Linked DNA regions of Caenorhabditis elegans. The protein of the gene in region 2 interacts with the protein of the main gene of each other region in a pairwise test. Each region holds a gene or a part of one and is shown on either strand. Other genes may lie near its edges.

Region 1 (3,756 bases), 1.9 Mb from region 2:
GACAAGATGAATGACTTGATGCATTACCAAAAGTTTTGCAATTAGGAAAAAAAGCTATTTCAAAATTGTGTTTTTTTTTAGAAAATTATTAATAACTCTCAATTTCAAATAGTTTTTTTTCTATTTCACGACATTCAATTTATAATTGAAGTTCAAATGTAGAGTTATTTTTTTGTAAATTAATCATGTTAGTGAAACATATTTTTTTCCAACTTACAATAAACCATGGCTCACTGTTCTTGTTGATCGAAATTTTTTTTTTCATTTTTAAAATTACGTCGATATGAAAATGTAGTGCTGAAAACATCAAGACTTATTTTGAAAATATATTTGGATTTCTAAAAATATTGTTTATTTAAAATACTTCAAGTGGGGCATCCAGAGGTGGAACTTTATTCCCTTAACATTTTATTGTCGAAACTGAAATTTTCCTGATTTATTTTTTCTAAATAATCCTTTTTCATCTTCATCCTTAAAAATATTTCTAATCTAATCGGTTCTTCTCATCGTTTTCTTCCACACAATTCAATGTGTCCCAACTCTTTACCCATCTCTTCACAAAAATGTCAATTTCTGTTCAATTTCCCATGGGAGTTCGATTTTCCGTTTCCCATCCTTTTCCAAACTCGGAGAGCTTGGGGCAACTCAAGAAAAAAAACATTTGGAATACGGATTCCTTAAGATGTGCATCAAAGTACTAGACCTCCTCTTCTTCTAGATCTACTTTCTTTTTCCCCGTATTCACTTCTTTTGTCCCAAATTTCTTTTCATTCCAAATTGGATTCAGTTCCCCTGAGAAGCTCGCCTGAGCCGGCGGGTCACATTAGAGAGTACTACTCTTCTTTTTTCCCGAAAATTTCAATTTGACAGAGTGATTTCAAATAGGGACTAGTACCGAAAAAACATTTTGGGCGGAGTTGTAAACGGTGAAAAAAGTTTAAAAGTTTGAATTTATCTTGAGTTCGGACTTCCTTTCGTTCTAAAAGTATATTGCACAAACACAGGTTTTTTTCGAACTCCAAAACTTGACTTCTAGTTGAAGTATATGTTTAGTTAGTTTTCTAATAAATATAGTTCATTCTAGGACTATTCCCATATTTCCTACCTGCCATTTTTCTTGCCTACAGCAATTTTTCAGTGTCGCTGGGAACTCTTGTATATGATATACATTTCTCCCATTTTAACTTTTTGTTGAAAGTTTCTTCTATGTCATGCCAGTAAACATGCGTGTAGGCAGATAGTTTATTTTGTGCAGTTTGCACTTTTGCGCTTGCTCTGATGTTTTTCTCTCAAATTGATTTTTATTCTATCCAATTGGCATTTTCATTTCTTATCTGTTTCCCATTATCTTCCACAAATTTCCCTCTCTTTTTTCGCCTCATTTTCCGTTTCCAATCCCATCATTTTTCGTTCATTTGCTCCCCACCAATTTTTCCTCAATCGTCTCATGACCTCAAATTGATGGATCACTTTCTCACCTATATCTCTAAATCTCCATGTCTATTCATACTATCTCATCTTCATCTCGAATATCAATCAAAAGTCATCCAAGAATTCTCGTCTCATGAAAATGTCAACACAAACAAAATGTGCTTGAGCTAATTGTTTTTTGTGGGGTGGAACTTTTTGTGCAAGAGCCTGAAATAGCTAAAGCATATAAAATCTACAGTAATCCCTTCATAATTGATCCTCTGGTACTCCATCATTATTGCATGCAGACTCAGAAATGGATTCTAAAACAATTATTCATCAATTGTCCTCTTCTTTTCTTTCTTTTATTTTTCACCATGCACATTTTTCTCTTTCTGCATCGAAAGATTTATAAAATAAAAACTTCAATAAAAATTTTCCTAATTTTCAGATGAGATAGGATTGATAATTTTTATTCGTATTTCACACACACGTAGAAAAAAGAAGAGCCATCACTAAAAACTACATGATTACTTGCCGCCGGTCTGTAGGTAAGATATATTGAGCATGAAGTTTGAATTATTGAATATTATTCAGGTCAATGGGTGTTTTTGTGTGTCGCGACAACATCAATCTCATCACGAATCATCGACGATCAATGGGACAGCGGCAAGCAAAGCAACACATGCAGGTTGGTAATAGTTTTGATATGGGGAATTTTTTTTTCGGAAACTAAAATTTATGCGAACTTCTGTGATGTTTTTTAAAATGTTTTATCATTCCTGTTTGGCATTCCCCAATTTTAAACATTTATTTCTGCAGGCTGGCGTCAAACTTTATCATCAACGACATTACGCACAGGCTATCAATAAATGGAGACAGTCTCTGAACAGGTTAAAGTAAGTCTTTCAGACGACTCCTCTTCTTTTCTATAACGTCCATTTTCAGCAATGCAGAAGACCGGTTTATCACTCTCGGATACCTTGCTCAAGCTCTTTGCGACCAGGGAGAATACGAAGGAATGCTTTCATATGCTCTATCACAAATGCAGTTGGCAACCGATCAAAACGATTCAGCAATGAAATGCGAGGCATTTTTGAATCTAGCAAAAGCCTATGAACGATTAGCAGATTTCACGAAAGCCCTCCAGTATGGCAAAGCATCGTTAGAACATCCTTCGATGGATCCCAGGACGCCTGGTTATGCACATTTAAGTAAGAATTTTCAATAGGTTCTAGACAAAACTGTGGCTATTTCAGCAATAGCACTTGCACACTTAGGAATGTCCCAGTTCCAACAGTGTCTGGAAAGTTTCGAGTCAGCAATGAATGTTGCCAATGAGACATCGGATAGGTTACTCGAATTGCAAATTTGTGTTGGTCTAGGATCTCTTTTTACTCTTTTGAGGTAACCGTACAGAAATGAAAAATAACACATTTTTATTTTCAGAGATATCACTAAAGCTCTGATATTTCTTCGAAATGCTCTCGCAATTGTTCAATCTGTTACTGTTGATGATGTTCATGCAAAGTATCGTTGTTTGATACTTTATCATTTATCAGTTGCTCTAAGGATGAAAGGAAGTCTGGTTGATGCCAAGGAAGCATGCGATGTAAGTTTTTATTTAAAGTTTAAGAACTTCAAAAAGTATTGAATGATTCCAGGAAGCTTCCCAGCTAGCTGTTGAGATGGGTAATCGAGCGATCCATGCAAGATGTATGTGCAGTTTAGCAGATATTTATAGAGAATTGGGAGAGAGTGAAGCCAAAGAGACTATCACTGTGAGTAATTTTAAATTCTCAGTTATTTCAGTAAAAAAACGTTATGCTTGAAAAGTTAATAATAACAACTAACTTTCATTAAAACTTGTATTAGAAATCAATGAGTTTTTTTTTTCTATTGTTAGATAATAAACTCTTTCTTACAGAAATCCTGGGCAAGATACGAAGATGCTTATCGTGTAATGCGCGGAGCAAATGATAAAATGGGCGAAGTAAGTGGCCAAAAAACCTTCAATTATTTATTGGTACAACCAAATACCTCATAAAACCAAAAGCTCACATCCAGGTCTCAATTTCTTTTCCCATTAAATAACTTTTACGACTTTCCCATAAATCTTGAAGCTTTGTGGTTGACACAATCTCACATAGAGATCAGACAACATGAGTATATTTCTGGGGAATTGTGAGAAAATAATTTTAATAAGTTCTGAGTGTTTTTCAGGTATTAGTGCTCTCGTCAATGGCAAAAAGTGCATCTGAAAGTCGATCTCATTACACTGGACAATGTGAATGTCAAGCTATTCAATTGAATAAAAAGTGTATTGAAATTGCAAATCAGATAGGG
Region 2 (3,756 bases):
ATAGTGTTGAGAGATCTAGACGGAGAAATGGAAGAAAACCGAAACCGCAAAATAAACACTGCGTGTTGTTCTGTTTTGCTGTACTCGTCTCCTTTTTGGAAGAAAAGTTGATGGGAATAGGTTCCAATTTTTGATTGGACAAGTATGATTCGATGTAACCCGTGCTCCATTGGCTCCACAAAGTCAACAAAAAGTCTATACTGAAGCCAATTTTGTACTTTTCACATATCTACAATGTCAAACATTTTAAAACGTTGTCTGTAACCATTTTTTCAGCTTCGGAGTATTATCTTGTGGTACTTTCGGACAGCTCTTACGAGATCTACATTTTTTTACGAGGTGACTTCGATTCTTCTTTTGTTTTTTTTTCCAAAAAATTTGTAGTCTTCTATTTTTGTTTCGTTTTTTTTCTAACTTCTTCTACTTCTTCTACTTCTTTGATTACACTTTTCTCACGAAATTTCAATTTCTTCTTTTTTCCGTGTGGTGGCTCCTTTCTTTCCTATTCGCTAACTGCTTCTTCATGAATAGCTAACTTTTTTCTTCTCTTCATTTTACTTCTTTTTCTTTTTTTTCCATTCCTTCTTTGGGACAGGGTTATTTGAAATTAGTGGTCGTATAACTAACCTTTTGATGAAAAACCAAGGACGTTTTGCACTTTTTTCATGTAAAAAAAGCGTAGAAGGACAAGCCTTTTGTTCACTTTTCATGTTTTCTAATCGAGATAACTTGGAACTTTTAGGGCAGTGTATTGCTTACTGATGTTCTATATCTAGTTTTTCGATTTTGGAAAATTGGAAATCATCGTTTATGGTTTTGTCCTCGACTTCCAGAAAACTGAATAATCGCCACTTTTTGACGGTTCTCAAGGTTACTATATAAAAGTTAAGCATCCAGGTGTCAATTAAAATGGAGTTCAGATTGCTAGCAAAAAACCAATGTCATGAGCTTTCAAAACGGAGCCGATAAAACGACAATTTTGTATAGGCTGCAGGTTTTTATTCATCTTGCAAAATGTGATATGCTCTAGATGTTTTTGTTACATACCTAACTAGAATAAGCTTTACTGTAGCTGTTTTAGAAATGAAGGTTCCGAAAACAAATAATGAATAGCATGAAATTATTCTGCTCGAGTCTCTAGCCGAGATCTAAAATTATCAAATTATTATGATCCGATGCCCCATTCGTTTTAAAGCTCTGAGGAACATCTTGCAACTTCAATTGCCCTTCAAAATTTCTCTCCAATCAATCTCTGTGTTTATGTGTTATTGTTGTTACTCTCTGGTCATAGAAGAATCTTTGTCTGTGAGCACATGTGTCATCTCTTCTCTCTCTCTCTCTCTTTTCCTGTTTTCTATCTTTCCCAAAGTTCAATCCTCATCTTCGTCGTGTTTTTTCTCTGAATCATCTGACTTTTTTCCCAGTTTTTTTCATGAATTCCCTGATATTTCAGAATCATTTCGCAATGCTTCTTCTCAACATCTTGTCTTCTTTATAATCCATTCGGGATTATAAAGGAACCTTATTCTTCCAGTCTTTCCCGCCTCCCTTTTTTACTTTCATTCCCCTTCGTTACATCACCAAAACCCGTTCTTCCTGTCTTCAATCTATCTGTATTACGTTATCAATGAAAAAAACATACATCTCCGTTTCTTTTTCATCTACAGACATCTTCTCTTTTCTATCATTGACATACATTAATACTTTACTTTAATTTCAGAATTAAAACTATCAAAGCAATACAAATTATGCAAAAATGGTTGATACAATTTCTGTTCTGAACCCAATTCATCTCGATTTGTCAGTCGATCCCCAGGATAATGTGAGGTAAGATGTTTATATTAATTAATTTACTGACAATTTGTAAATGATTCTTATTATACACTTTTATGTAATTTCTTTTAATGAAATATAATTCATTATATAGTATTTTATGACCACAGTAGTCCACATGTAACTGTGCTTCTTCTTCTCCGGTTTCATAGGTTCCTTAAAGAGTAATTTTCGTGAATCTGCGGAACGAAGTGCCGAACTTTTCATTGTTAATGCCTTGCCTTTCTTTGTGGAACACTACCATTTTCACTTTTACCCATGTTTGATATCTCTAGACTCTGGCAACTGAATTGCCTACAAAAACAATACAAATCTAACTCAACAATGCTGTCATCCCTAAACATTATTCGAGTAACTCTTTCAAACTTAAATTTTCAGAATCTCCGCCAGAAGCACAACATCATCATCTGCCTCGACATCATCCGACTCTGAGCTAATGAGTCCTAGGGCTGAGGAGCTTTTGAGAATGCAGGCTGAGCTCAGAGCAACACGAACGGCGCTTGCTGAAAAAGATAAAAAGATGACACAAATTCAAGTGACAGTGGATGCAGAAGTTCAAGAACTTACTGAAAAATTATTTCAGGTAAGACCAGTACAACTCCGATCCTGAGAAATTAGCTTATAAAAATTCTCGATTTTGATTTTCAAAATTTCATAAGATAATTTAAATTTTTAGAAAGTTGACCAAGTAAAAAAGATAAGAATGATATTGAAAACCGATGAAAAAGTCTCAAAACTCCCATCACATCTTCAAGTTTACAGGAGGCGTACAAAATGGTAAACACAGCAGAAGCTCGTCGTGAGAAAGCAGAAAAACTACTAACCGAATCAAGACTTGAAGTTGAAGTTCTTCAAGCAGAAGTACGTGCATTGAAAGAATTGATATCTGCTCCAGGAATGGGTCAAAACCATTTCAAGCAGACAACATCTCCAGAACATAAATCAACTTTATCAAAACTATTCAATGGATCAAGTTCATCATCAAAAAAACAAAAAGACGCTGCAAATGTATCAGATAAAAAGAAAGCTTCATCACTTCCATCTACATCAACATATACACTAACACCATCAGAAGATAGAGAACAAAAAGAAGCAAATGCAGTTGAAGAGATCGATCCAATTCTTTTTTCTGAATTTGAATTTTGGAGAGAAGCTGGACATCCGACGACATCTCATCCATTTATTGATAGAGTTACCGTTGAAGAAGTTGAACCATGTATGCTATTCGAAAACTCTGAGTTATCAGAAGAAATAATGAAGGCAATTCGAGAGAATCGTGTTCAACTTGAACCATTAAATGAACTGAAACCATCTGTAAGGATTTGTGCATTAACAAATGCTTCAAGGTTTTGTCCGTATCGAGTAAGAACTGGTGATGAGGAACAAGAATGGCATTATGTTTCGTTAATTGCCAGGAATAGGGTGAGTTATTCCACTTTTCTTGGTCTCGGAACGATTGATAATTTTAATTGAGACTGCCAAAAAGGTGCGCGCCTTTAAAGAGTACGGTAGTTTTCACTTCTCACAGTTTTGCCATTCTATTCGTTATTTTCTTTCGAAACCCTTTACTTAGAAAACGTAATAGAAACTACCTTACTCGTTAAAGGCACACTTTTTTTCGCAACCTGAATTTCAAAACTTTCAGTCGTGCCGAGACCTGGTACCGTAATCTTGATTTCTCAATTAACTCAAGATTTACAGATTGCCGCAGTCTGTGACTTCTTCACGTGTATCCGATACTTGTCCCAAGGTTTGATCAAACCCGGGCCTCGAGATTCATATTTTCACGTTGTAAACTTGCGGAAAAACATGTCACTTGCCAAACTGGGGCTAGGATTTGTCCCGCGTTCCAACATACGCCATCATTGAATTAATAGTATTTTACCATAATTTGAAACTACAGGTCTTTCACACTTTTTATAC

What was found.
Region 1: the proteins of rabi-1 (region 2) and rpy-1 interact in a two-hybrid assay, tested with the Caenorhabditis elegans proteins (2 studies listed by BioGRID).

The regions. Positions count from the first base shown.
Region 1 is NC_003280.10:6,703,749-6,707,504, reverse strand, and holds the start of rpy-1 (43 kDa receptor-associated protein of the synapse homolog), read left to right. Parts: upstream 1-1,861; 5' UTR 1,862-1,961; intron 1,962-2,007; 5' UTR 2,008-2,011; coding exon 2,012-2,101; intron 2,102-2,232; coding exon 2,233-2,309; intron 2,310-2,358; coding exon 2,359-2,624; intron 2,625-2,669; coding exon 2,670-2,817; intron 2,818-2,859; coding exon 2,860-3,022; intron 3,023-3,074; coding exon 3,075-3,191; intron 3,192-3,337; coding exon 3,338-3,403; intron 3,404-3,633; coding exon 3,634-3,756.
Region 2 is NC_003280.10:8,583,051-8,586,806, reverse strand, and holds the start of rabi-1 (GDP/GTP exchange factor Sec2 N-terminal domain-containing protein), read left to right. Parts: upstream 1-1,720; 5' UTR 1,721-1,756; coding exon 1,757-1,827; intron 1,828-2,211; coding exon 2,212-2,416; intron 2,417-2,595; coding exon 2,596-3,255; intron 3,256-3,534; coding exon 3,535-3,702; 3' UTR 3,703-3,756.